Linked DNA regions of Xenopus tropicalis. The protein of the gene in region 3 binds, or shares a complex with, the protein of the main gene of each other region. Links are inferred from orthologs where the notes say so. Each region holds a gene or a part of one and is shown on either strand. Other genes may lie near its edges.

What was found.
Region 1: stub1 (region 3) and hspb8 share a complex: the UniProt entries of both Homo sapiens proteins name them as parts of the chaperone-assisted selective autophagy (CASA) complex. The link is inferred for Xenopus tropicalis from reciprocal best matches to the Homo sapiens genes STUB1 and HSPB8.
Region 2: the proteins of stub1 (region 3) and chic2 are in contact, whole or in part, in a crystal structure (PDB 8SUV), measured with the Homo sapiens proteins. The link is inferred for Xenopus tropicalis from reciprocal best matches to the Homo sapiens genes STUB1 and CHIC2. Residues at the interface, in NP_005852.2 of Homo sapiens: Lys30, Asn34, Phe37, Tyr49, Val61, Asn65, Leu68, Leu71, Val94, Lys95, Phe98, Phe99, Gln102, Arg128, Asn130, Phe131, Gly132, Asp134, Ile135; in NP_036242.1 of Homo sapiens: Leu156, Pro157, Lys158, Thr159, Pro160, Ile161, Phe162, Arg163, Pro164, Asp165.

The regions. Positions count from the first base shown.
Region 1 is NC_030677.2:165,806,117-165,810,487, reverse strand, and holds the start of hspb8 (heat shock protein beta-8), read right to left. Parts: upstream 2,817-4,371; 5' UTR 2,574-2,816; coding exon 2,189-2,573; intron 1-2,188. UniProt on the Homo sapiens protein: Involved in the chaperone-assisted selective autophagy (CASA), a crucial process for protein quality control, particularly in mechanical strained cells and tissues such as muscle. Displays temperature-dependent chaperone activity.
Region 2 is NC_030677.2:39,930,492-39,934,124, forward strand, and holds part of chic2 (cysteine-rich hydrophobic domain-containing protein 2), read right to left. Parts: intron 2,113-3,633; coding exon 2,058-2,112; intron 1,970-2,057; coding exon 1,814-1,969; intron 1-1,813.
Region 3 is NC_030685.2:14,818,755-14,823,148, reverse strand, and holds the start of stub1 (E3 ubiquitin-protein ligase CHIP), read right to left. Parts: upstream 2,915-4,394; 5' UTR 2,656-2,914; coding exon 2,479-2,655; intron 1,451-2,478; coding exon 1,252-1,450; intron 1-1,251. Other genes in the region: linc02867 (uncharacterized protein LOC100145131), read left to right, coding at 4,084-4,086. UniProt on the Homo sapiens protein: E3 ubiquitin-protein ligase which targets misfolded chaperone substrates towards proteasomal degradation.

The DNA.
Region 1 (4,371 bases), on a different chromosome or scaffold from region 3:
TCAAAGTACCTCTTACTGTATATCCCAGTCTCGCTTCCTTTCACATTGTCTAGGGTTCAGTTGGAAGGGCTAATTTGATGAACTTTGGTCTTTTTTCAACCCAACTTAACTATGTAACTATTTATTCCCTAGCCTTTTTTGTTATTTCCTTCTCTTCTTTCTTTAAGTCTTCTGCTCTCCTTCTCTGCCCATCTCCCAAAGGGCCTTTCCTTTTTTGCTATAGCAACAGAAAGATGACAGGAAGTTCAACTTTAAACCTCTTGTCAAATTGACCAATCACCATGTGGCCCAGTTGATGCACTGAGCCTGAAGGAATGAAAAGTACAAGTGTAGACACAGGGAACAGGTCATTGTTTCAGGTACTGGTGCCGCCCTATTTCTGCATGCTGTCTTATTTCCATGGCCCGCAAATTGTGAATATCTGCCTTAGCAGAAACAGTCCCCTTACTGTAGGCAGAGAGATATACATCACAGGTACATTTACCCCACATTTTATCCTTATTGACCTTCAAGTGCCCCCCTCATCAACTGCCTCACAGAGACAGCCTGACAGTTTGAGAACTACTGTGCTAGCATGATCTAGTAAATAGTGTTTTGTGCATGCTTTGCTGTAACCACATTGCATTCTGTATAAGGATATGAGTGAGTTTAAGATGTGTGTGATGAAGACTTGACAAGACATATGTCACACACTTGGAACACATAAATCCACTAGCCTGAAGCCATATTGGCTTTAACCCCCAGTGTAACATTCTGCACACTGCTAGGCTGGGGTAAAGATATTGCAAAGTCACCATCGATTGCCACCAGTTTCAGTACTGTCCAGTGCTAATAATCCACCAACGAAGTAGTGCACTTTTAGTGTACTTGATAATGTTAGCCCCCTGACAAAAAACTTTTCTTTATCATTAAAGGAATACTGTCATAGGAAAACATTTTTAAAACACATCAGTTAATAGAGCTTCTCCAGCAGAATCTGCAATCTGCATCTGCATCTGTTTTTCAGACAGATTTTTTATATTTAATTTTAAAATTTGAAATGGGGCTAGCCATATTCTTCATTTCTCAGGGTGCCACAGCCACGTGACCTGTGCTCTGATAAACTTCAGTCACACTTTACTGCTGAGCTGCAAGTTGGAGTGATATCCCTCCCTCCCAGCAGCCGATCAGCAGAACAATGGAAGGCAGCAAGATGGCAGCTCCCAGTGGATATCAGAATAGCACTCAATAGTAAGAAATCCAAGTCAGGCTTGGGACTCCTCCAGTTACATGGGAGTAGGAGAAACAATAGGTTGCCTGAAAGCAGTTCCAATGTGTAGCGCTGGCTCCTTCTGAAAGCTCAGACTCAGGCACATGGCGCCTACACACCAATAGTAGAACTAAAAAACACCTTTGTTGGTTCAAGAATAAAATTTTAAATGGTAGAGTGAATTATTTGCTATGTAAACAGTGTAATTTAGAAATAAAAACTACACTGTAAAAATCATGACAGAATCCCTTTAAATTATGTCCGAGACAGGCCTCTATCTGTAGGTGAACTACAGTTCCCTAAAATCCCTAGCAATCTGGGACTTCTGGAGCATTGCCCATACACAACCCCCAAATTAGTTAGTTGCTTTGCTGTTCTGAGGCAAATATTATCAGTATATGCAGATTATTATCTGCTTGCTATGCCTAGATGTTCTTATTAGTAATTCTATTATTTCCTTTTTTCTATTCTGTAATGCATGGATTAAATGATAGGTCAAAGCTTATGCCAGTAGTAATAAATTAACTCTGAAGTCTTTTTGTCAGACGATTAAGCTTTTAGCACACAAAACCCTATAGTTGCGCATTGGCACGAGTGCATCAGTGCCCACCTTCTGTTCCTAATTGCTTAATAGGTTCAAGTGTGCTACTGCCACCCGGAAAGTGGCATTAATTCCATGGTCCCCACTACAGGCTGTGTTAATAGGTGCAGTAGACTTGCTAAACTCCTAAAGAATCATATACATACATCTTTTTTATGCTAAGTGCCAATACTGACTCTTTCACTGCCACAATTATGCAACATTTGTGGTGGGAAATGCTGCATTGTGGGTAAAAATCTTTGCATCCTATACTTACATTTGTAAATAAACCCCAGATAAGCCTAACTAAATGATCAGTGAAGCAAAGAACATGTGTATATGTATATATTGTTACTAACCTGAAACTTCTACAAAGCCATCCTTCGTTTTAACTGTCAGCTCCTCTGGCTTGAAAGTTTGCACATTTACGCAGACCTTCCATGGCTGGCTGATATTTGCTACAGTGTTACGAGCGTCAGGATAACCCGTGTATCTGGAATTATATACGGGTGGGGGCATCCCTGATCTCACCAAGCCTGATCTTAAAGGGCCCGACCAGGCAGAAGTCAGTCTGGGCCTTGCCCAATCTGGCCAGTCCATGGTTAAATCATCTGAAAAAGGTGGAATGCCAAAATCTTCATCAAGAAGGCGAGATGACAGTCCTTGTTCTCGAAAAGGATCACGGCTTCCCCTGTGTCTGTTAGATGGGTAATGGCAGGTGAAGGGTAACTGACTGTCAGCCATTATTTTTCTTTAGCTGTGACTGGAAAATGTCAACCTGATTATGGTTATTGTAATTTCCGTACAGGCAGAATAATCTTCAGGCAGTGCAGCCTCTTGGCGAATGCTTTAATAGCAAAAAAAAATAAAAAATAACCAGAAAAAAAGAGTAGCTGTGGAATTAAATCAGTTAAAAGCAATCTAAAATCTTTCTGGATCTGAGCAGACTCATTGAAAAGAAGAGAGGTGCCTTGATCCTTTGACTCGTGTGGCTGCCAGTAAGTCTATTAAACACTGGTGCCATCAGTCGAGAAAGTTCTGTAAACTTCTGTGCTGCAGTCACTGGCTCCTATTTATATCTGCCTGTTAATGCTTGCTGCCTGTAGCTTGTCAGCTGGGTATTTGAAGCTTATGAAACACCCTACAAGAATCTGCTTTTGTAACAGCTGATGACTCCCAGAAGAGACTGGACCTATTACTAAGGGTATCCAATTTTAGACTGCCTTCTCCTGCTGACCCCTCCTTGATTCCTCTCGCGTCTTCCATCCCCCCATCGCGTCGACATTTGTATTTAGAGAAAACCACAGGCTGTGTCATTTTATACTTGTTATTAAATTAAACTCTTATAAAACAAGGTCACCCCCTCCATTGGATAAATTCCATTAAGTTGTTTCTAATGCCTTATTCATTCTGCATATTTTGTACTGTACAAATTATATTATATATAGACTTCATTTTACCTTTAACTGGTACCTTTCTGTATGGGTTAAATAACCCATACTTAACTTTTAATTTGCAGTACAAGCCTTATTTTGATGCATGCTTGGCATATATTTAGTTTTCCCCTTTAAAGGGCAAGTAAACCCTTAGGCAATTTTGGAAAATTGACATTCTTTTCCATTCTATTTCTAGAGCACCCTTTGCATGAATAGGATTTTGAGATACAGACCAATGCAGGCTGCAAAGCAGTATTTTGGCACTTTATATACACCATCTTATTGAAATGTATTTAATTAAAATTTTCTTCTCTTTGCTGCTAGAACATCCTTAACCCTCTGCTGTACTGGGAAGTTTTTAATTTGATTCTAGTTGGGGGATCTACTAGTAGCTACTTGGCAATGCTGTATTTAGGTCCAGTGCCACCCTAGACACCAGACCTAAATGAGCCCCCAGTTTGCGGAAGTGATGCCACGTGCAGCCTACACGGGATGTCATTTCCGCATCATGTACCTCTCACCCCCCCTAGCTCCATCACTGGTTTTATGCAGGAACTCTCCGGTGGCAGGTGAGTTTTTTTATTTAAATAAATCTATGATATAGACATCCAAGGGACGCCCCCAAAAGCTGCTGCTGCTCTAGGCAGAGTACCTTGGGTGCCCTGGTTTTGGATAGGATTTACTTCCATTCATATGTACTTTGCACTGATGTTAGGGATAAGGCCTGGCTTACAGTCAACATTCCAATTCTTGCCACATATGTTAAGTTGGATTGATGTCAGGGCTTGCTGCAGACCATTCAAGTTCTTCCTCTCCCATTTTAGCCAATTCATACCAATTCTGTATGGACCTCATATTATGCATAGGGTAATTATAAGGCTGAAACAGGAAAGGTCATCCTCAATCTTTTGCCACAAAATAGGGAGCATTCATATGTCAAGAACGCCATTGTATCATGTAGAGCAGTGATCCCCAACCAGTGGCTCAGGGGCAACCTGTCACTCACCAACCCCTTGGATGTTGCTCTCAGTGCCCCCAAACCAGGTAGTTGACTTGGTGCCAAGTTTTGGTTGAATAAAAACAAGATTTACTACCAAATAAAGCCC
Region 2 (3,633 bases), on a different chromosome or scaffold from region 3:
ACCCCCAATGGCCAGTGGACAGAAATCTCATTTAAAATTCATGGTTATACATATTTCATCTGAAGTGATTATCATTATCACATGCAAAGCAAATGCTTTCCTAACTCAAAGGCAAAAATAGTTCCCGGCTTTCCTTATGTGAAACTGTACGTCAAGTAGGCAAAGGGAAACTTAAAATTAACTTTTAGCACAGACCAATTCAATGCCCTTAGCAGTAGTGCTACTCAACAGTATGGAATTTTCTAAGAAATTATATGAAAAAAACCATAATAAAAAGACAAATATTAAGCTTTATACTGAATGCTAAGCTAGGGCCACTGACCTCGGAAAACAGCATTTAAAATTCCAGATTAAAGGGGCAATGAGCTGAAGGGCAAATAATTCAAAACATAAGAAATTACAAAAAAGAAGCCAAATACGAAGTTGCTTATCCCTCATGGTGATATGGTGGGATGTTTGATTTATTACACCCGCTGCCATGAAACCAATATGTTGATTAGGCACCTGGAAATGTAGAATCCATGATGCCCACTTATTAGTATCAGACTTCCTGCAACAAATTCTACATTTCTGGGTGGCTCTTTGGTTGCACTTAAAATGTTAAAGGGGAAGTATAACAAAAAGTCTTTATAGGTGAAGAAAAAAAAATGGTATTTACTGGGAGGTCAAACTGTTAAGACAAATGTGTGTGTATCTTACTTTTACTTTACAAAAAAAAATGCTAAAAATCTAATTATACAGCACAATATGGGCTTCTGAGTTTCTAATAGTTCCCATTTACTCTTGATTATAAGATAATAAAAGTTAAGTTTAACATAAATTTCTGGTTTAACATAACAGCAAGGTGGCTGACAGTTCTTATAAGCAGTATTCTCATACGTGAACTTCCTTGAATCTGTAATTATGTTTTAAACCATCTACCTTAGAGATTACCAGCCACATGGGAAAGCTTTGTAAAGAGTTAAGGCCTCCCTTAAGGGCCCTTACACATGGGCATTTTGCCCTGTGTTCCCCTGCATTCCACCACATATTGTTGCACAAGTGTTTAATAGCCTGGGGGCAGACAATAAATCATCTGGAAATGCTTCCTTATTTATTTAAATGGCAATTGCTTAGACCCACATGTAAAAGGAACAGCCATTTATACATAAGAGATATGGAGTGTTTTGTCCACCATACATTTTACCTGCCCAAACATGCAGCATCCATTGTCCCCTAAGAGAACACGTTTTAAGTGTTACAGAAAGTGAATAACACATTAGTGGAAAGCTAATTAAGTAAGGCTGCCAGAACTCTATATACCTAGTGGAAATCTTCATATGAGCCATATTGCATATAAGTTAATTCTCTTGAAATTATAAATAAGCAAAATGTATACTTCTACAAAGACCCAAATGGTGTTAGCTCTAGTAAAATTCAAAATAAGATGTGCACAATGGTTCGTAACCTTTTTTCCCAACCTCATTACAGGAATCATCTCTGCAGAAATGTAACACCTTTTAACTAAAAGCTATTTAACCCATTTACTAATTGTAATTAGGGGTAATATGCACTGCCTCTCAGTGGCACCACAAGCTAGGAGTATGAGATTGTAATAACAAATATAAAGAAAAGGAAAGTACATCAGCTATAAGCAAATTTTGGGTATGAAAGAAAATACATTGAAGATAGGTATGAAGAGAAATATGCCCTCTTTAAAAGCATATTACAACAAAGCCTTGTGGAATAAGAGAATTATTAATAAGAACACAGTAGCACATTACATGATTAAGCTGTAAGACAAAATCAAGAAGCCAAGAATTGGTCAACTTACTCTTTTACTTAGACAAACAACTGGCCACATACTGCAGCCCAATGTACAGCAACAGCAAAGGCATCCACAAAGTAACCAGCGGACATTAATTGGAAGATTCTTCTTAAGACAACTGTTGACTCTGTTAATACTAGATTTAAATTCTTCAGGTGCTACCTGGAAAGGGGGGAAAATGTTACTAAGTATGAGAACAGTATTAAAGAAAGCAAATTGTTTGTCTTTAAACTTTGTTTTTGACACATACCTTGCCAGTTAAGGAAGAAGGGAATTCTGCTTCAAACTTGTTGCTAAGACCAAAACTAAAGAAAAAAGAAAATCATTAGAGATCATACTGCTGTACTTCAACTAATACATTAAAATGTAAACATTTTAATTGTGGCCAAAATGTAAATACTGAAATCTGATTTCATGATTAAGATCATTACTTCGTCATCAGTGTTTAACTGGTTAACCATCATTTTTGTTATATGTTAAGGGGTAGGGTCATTACAGTTTTCGACCAATATTTTATACCATTTCATTTTTGCAAACCAAAGTGAACAGGGTGGTTATTTTCTGGATATTCAGGCTACCTCAACTTGGCATAAGGGCTCTGGCACGCAGGGAGATTAGTCGCCCGCAACAAATTTCCCCGAAATGCCATCCCACCGGCAGACAACATATTGATTAGATCCATGTGACACATAGCAGATAGAAGACTTTTTAAAAAAAGGGGAGTTGGTAAGCTTAACTACTCTGACAACTTTTCCCAAACTGTGGTGCTGCCTTCCTTTGGTGGTCAAAGTGTGCTTAGTGGGGCCAGCCTGAAAGCCAGTTAGCAACAGATTTGGGTATGCCTGGAAGTACAGCTTAGCGGTCAGTTATATTAATAGGAGGGCCTGGCCAAATACGCCCAACAACCTCTGCACTACAGGAATATGGTATGTCTAGAAACTATATTCTGATCAATAAAGTACAGGTATGGGATCAGTTATCCAGAAACCCGTTATCCAGAAAGTTCCTTATTATAGAAAGGCCATTTCCCATAGACTCCATTATAAGCAAATAATTCTAATTTTTAAAAATGATTTCTTTTTTCTCTTTAATAATAAAACAGTACCTTGTACTTGATCCCAACTAAGATATAATTAATCCTTATTGGAGGGAAAACAATCCTATTGGGTTTATTTAAAGCTTAAATTATTTTTAGTAGACTTAAGATATGGAGATCCAAGGTATGAAAAGACCCCTTATCCGGAAACCCCAGGTCCTGAGTATTCTGGATAACAGGTCCCATACCTGTACTTGCACTGCAGCAAAAATAGAAATGTATTACAAGGATGTACACTAATGTTTGGATGAGAGTCTTTTTTTGTCATCTAAGATATGTTTGATACATTAAGTCTAACAGCACGTCTGCCATTTGGTTGCCACCTGTATGTACTCTTGGGAAGAACAAGTTGAAAGAATGCGAGAAATAATTTGAAATACCTCCTCATTATAGACAATTGAGATAATGGCGCCTATGAGATGATCTTCCCAAGAAAGTATGCAGCATTAAAATGCCATCAGTGCTTTTAGCATAAAAATAATCTATGCACAAGTTTTCGTTAAAGTAAAAAAAAAAAAAAAAATTTATGGCTAGAAATAATATATATATATATATATATATATATATATATAATGAACTTACTGGACCAACCCAAAGGTTTAGCAGCCCTATAACAGTTATATTGTATGCCTTCAAGGTTATCCACAACTATTGAGTGCTATTCTGATATCTACCACTTTAAGCAATACAGGTGTCAGGAAGCTGCTATCTTGCTCCCTTCCCATTGTTC
Region 3 (4,394 bases):
GTTTAACAAATATTGTTTCAGAAGCCGGAGTTCCCCTTTAATAGCATTGCCCTCAGCTGACTCCAGTATACAGAGTACAACAATCTGCCTCGCTATCTGGGGCTTCCCGCACGTGTCACCTTCAAGGGAATCTAAAGCTTCTGGAAGTCAGAGTGTGTCCAAGAGCTAACGCCTTGCTAAACCTGTGTGCCCGGCCTCGGTGTTCCTGTTTTTCAAGCTGGTTCATGACCTAAATATACTCTTGCTGTCAGGCAGCACTAAGTCCGCCGGGGTAAACAAACAAATATCATTTGTTGCTGCGTAAGCTCTTCTGCAATTAAACAGATATCAGGAGTTCTGCTCCACAAATAGCACAGGCACTATAAGGGCTCTGGCACACGGGGAGATTAGTCGCCCGCGACAAATCTCCCTGTTCGCGGGCGACTAATCTCCCCGGATTGCCATCCCATCGGTGAAAATGTAAGTCGTCGGTGGGATGGCACACGCTGCGCAGGCGATTTCGGCAAATCGCCGAAAATGCCTCGCGAGGCAACTTCGGCGATTTGCCGAAATCGTCTGCGCAGCGTGTGCCATCCCACCGGCGACTTACATTTTTGCCGGTGGGATGGTAGTTCGGGGAGATTAGTCGCCCGTGACAAGGGAGATTTGCCGCGGGCGACTAATCTCCCCGTGTGCCAGAGCCCTAAGCCATTTTTAGGGCATATGCTGCGTTTTATTCTATTGGATAAAGGTGAACGCAAAGTAAAAATCATTGGTAGGGGGTGGCACCAATCTGTTACAATAAAATCCATGACCTATTATCCTGGTCCGGCTTTTCCCTTCTTTAAAAAAATGCTGCATATGCGCAGCTTGGTGCCGCCATCTTTTTTTCCCCAGGTCCCAGCCAATCGTAAGTGGACACAATTGCTAAAGAAGTTTTGTACTTCACAGGTATCTGCTCAGGGCAGCATGACGGGTACCTGGGAGCAAAGAAAGAGATGGCAGCCCTGTGTGCTACAGGAAAGTACCCTGGGGTGGTTTGTTTAATGGGTTATAGGAGCCGTGGGGCCAAGGACAACATCAATGAGCCGATGTGTCATCGATCCGACGTGAGACTCAAACCTGCCCAATTGACACATGGCCGGTTTTCAGCCAGTCAGGGAGGCCCGTTGGGGGGGCCCCATTCAGGGGCAGTTAAGCTGACTAATCAGTCTAAAGGACAATCAGCAGCCTGTGTGTGGCCCCCTTAATAAGCGCGGCCCAGTGGCTTACCTCTCTGTAGATTGGCAATGGCTTCATCATAGTTCTCTAGTTCCATCTGGCACTGCCCCAGGAAGAAGTGGGCCTTCACTGACTGGCAGTCCAACTCTAAGGCATGTTTGCAGTCTGCCAGGGCCTTGTCCAGCTGCTGCATCTTCAGGTAGCATAGCGCCCGGTTAGTGTAATACACGGCAATGGAGGAGTTTCGGGTCTACAGAGAGGGCCAGAGAGGAAAAGCTCACCATTAACAATATATAGAGAATAAGAAGCACTGGTTGTGATCCATTTTCTTATACAATTTCTACTGTGTGTGACCAGTTGCTACATTAACACCCACCCATGAAACTGTAAACTGCATTCATCCATAGCTAACAGTCAGATCTTTGCTTTTGTTTTCTATCTTGTAGAAATAATTGCAGACTGGTTGCTTTGGAAGACTGCACTACAATCACTTATAGGCGGTCCAATAACCCTCCCATATATGGCTCCGATTCTGCAAAGGAGGTTGCCCAAAAAAATAAATATGCAAAAGAATGTTCCAATGATAATCCCCCCCCTACCAGCATGATGTCAGCCATCTTGTTGTGCTCTAACATAGAGAGAGCACTGAGTAATATGGGCTTGCTAATAGCTCACTTTAATAAAATATCAGGAAGGTGAAGTATTAGGAAGTATTACAGGAAAAAAAGGAACAGGAACAGGATGGGCGTATACAGAACAGTCAGGATTCACACTTTGTTGGAGTTGCAGCTTAGTAACACTCCGGGGCAGCACTGTTGTTGAATAAGGTTTTAAGAGACAACGGCAACTAAAGTGGGCTGCACACTCATATACCTGCTTGTTTGGTCGCCCTTATGCTGGGCCAAATAGGGTTGATCTATTCTTCTGGCCACTGGGCCAATAAACAGGTCATAACACGAGCCTACATAGACCTGTTGGGTGAGGAGCAGACTTGATGCACCTTAGCACTCAATGTCTACTATTTAACCCTATAAGTCTTTGGGGAAACCCCTAACCACTTGCCCTAAATCTGAAAGCACTTGGTATATTCTAAACCAATACTGTGCAAGTGAAGGCCCTAGGATTGCCCAAAGACATTCATAGACTTCTTTGTATTAGTTTAATATCAGGCTGGGAAACACTGGCCAGCACTGTTCTATGCAAGGAATGAAATATGTGCCCTGGCATCATTATATACAAATATACCATATACACATTGGTTAGAGATGTGATACTTACAATGGCCTTGCTATAACAGGACACAGCCTCTTGGTATTTCCGGGCCACAAACAGTCTGTTGCCTTGTTCTTTCAGCTCTTGGGCGCTGACACTCTTCTCAGGGCTACCTCCGGTGCCGCCAGAACCCCCACTAACCCCCGAGGGGCGTCCTCCGCCTCCCTCCTCCTTCCCTTTCATCCCAGGGCCTCCCGCAGTCACCCCTCCAATCCTCGGGATGCTTGGTGCCACCCCCAATTTCACAGATGGCGCGGGGACCCCTTGATCAAGGGGACCCAAAAATGATATCTAAAAAAAGAAAAAGTTGGGGGCCTCCCCCAAGATCAAAACAAAAAGAGACTATGATCCCTAAATATCTAGTTTCGCCTGTTGTTACACTTGGCTCTTAATGTAACCATTCAAAGTAATCAAGGTTTTCTAATGATGGCGCTACTTTAGTGTCCCACGTAAACAGCCAACAAGAGACCCCCCCCCTTATAACGTAATGAATCCTATCAAACCTGACCAGGGTCTCTGTATAAATATAACCGCCAACTGAACCCCACAAGCACTCACAGCTTATTCTCAAGTTACAGTAGTATACATACAAATTAATTAAGGTCCCTATAATCCCTCTAGCACCCACAGATGTAATACTTACAGTACTATACACAGAATTAATAATAGCCCTTATATCCTCCCTAAACCTTACAGGTTAACCTCATAGGGCCCTATAACCCACCCACAAGAACAGGCCCCACTATATACCCTCTGGCAGCTCTTCATAACATAACTCAGCCCTGCCCCTATGTACCCGCCCAACTGCCCATACACATCCCCCAAAGGCAGCCCTGTGTCCCCCCCACAACAGGCCGCCCCTTTCTGTGTCTTCAAGCCCAGTTCGCAGACCGCTACACTGACACAGCTCCAGCCCAAACCCCTAAACACAGACAGCTGCTGCCTCCACCAGCCGGAACTTCCGGTCTGTCTTCAACAGTGACTTGCGGGGTTCTTCCGCACAGAGCTATCGTAGGACGGATTCCGTCACACCGAGGCTTGGAACGCAAATCCAGGAAGCTATAGTGAAATGAAAAGCCGCGCCCATAGAGAGGCTTGAGTTGTTAAGCCCCGCCCACTCGGGTTTAGTATGGCCGCGGTTTCTCTATGAGTGTTGGGCAGGAGTGAGATTCTGCTGTTTGTGCCACTGCCATCGCTTCCCCACAGCTAATAGCCATTTATTGGAGGTTGGCAACATATTTGTAATGCAGTTGTGTCATTTTTAGGGGCGTTGCTGCTGTACAGGCTGAAGCTGCAGTAAGAGGTGACACAAGTGCTGCCAGTACCATAGATAATCTGTTTATCCCTATACTTATAATCGTCAATTTTGACCATATGTGTTGTTTTTCTTCTTTATTTGATTTTTTTTCTTTGGGTCTCAAAGCTTGTCTGTGGCTTTGTTGTTTTTGTTACTAAATCCCTCCATCCTTTTCCTCTTTCCCTTTTAGGGCTCTGGCACACGAGGAGATTTGTTGCCTGCGTTTTTTCCACCAGGCGCTTTGGCGGCAAGTCGCCACGACAATACCCACGAAGAGATTTCATGCGAGTTGAGCTCCAGGCGATCTGCTACCCATGGTACACTCAACAGTTACCCCCCCCCCCCCCCACATGTTTACTCAAGTCGCTCAGAAAAGGGTCTGTGCGCGATTTGAAACAGCAGGCGACTTGAAGTAGCCTCGTATGTTTTGACGCTGGCGATTTCCATTGGTTTAGCATTGGCGTCTTGTCGCCAAATCGCTCTTTTAAAAATCGCCGGCGACAAATCTCCTCGTGTGCCAGAGCCCTTAAACTTTTTCTAATTACTTTGTTCTTCCCATAATGTGAGAGGTCAGGCTTGATTGGTCAGATCCTTTTGTTTCTTTCCGTTACGAAGATCAGCAGAA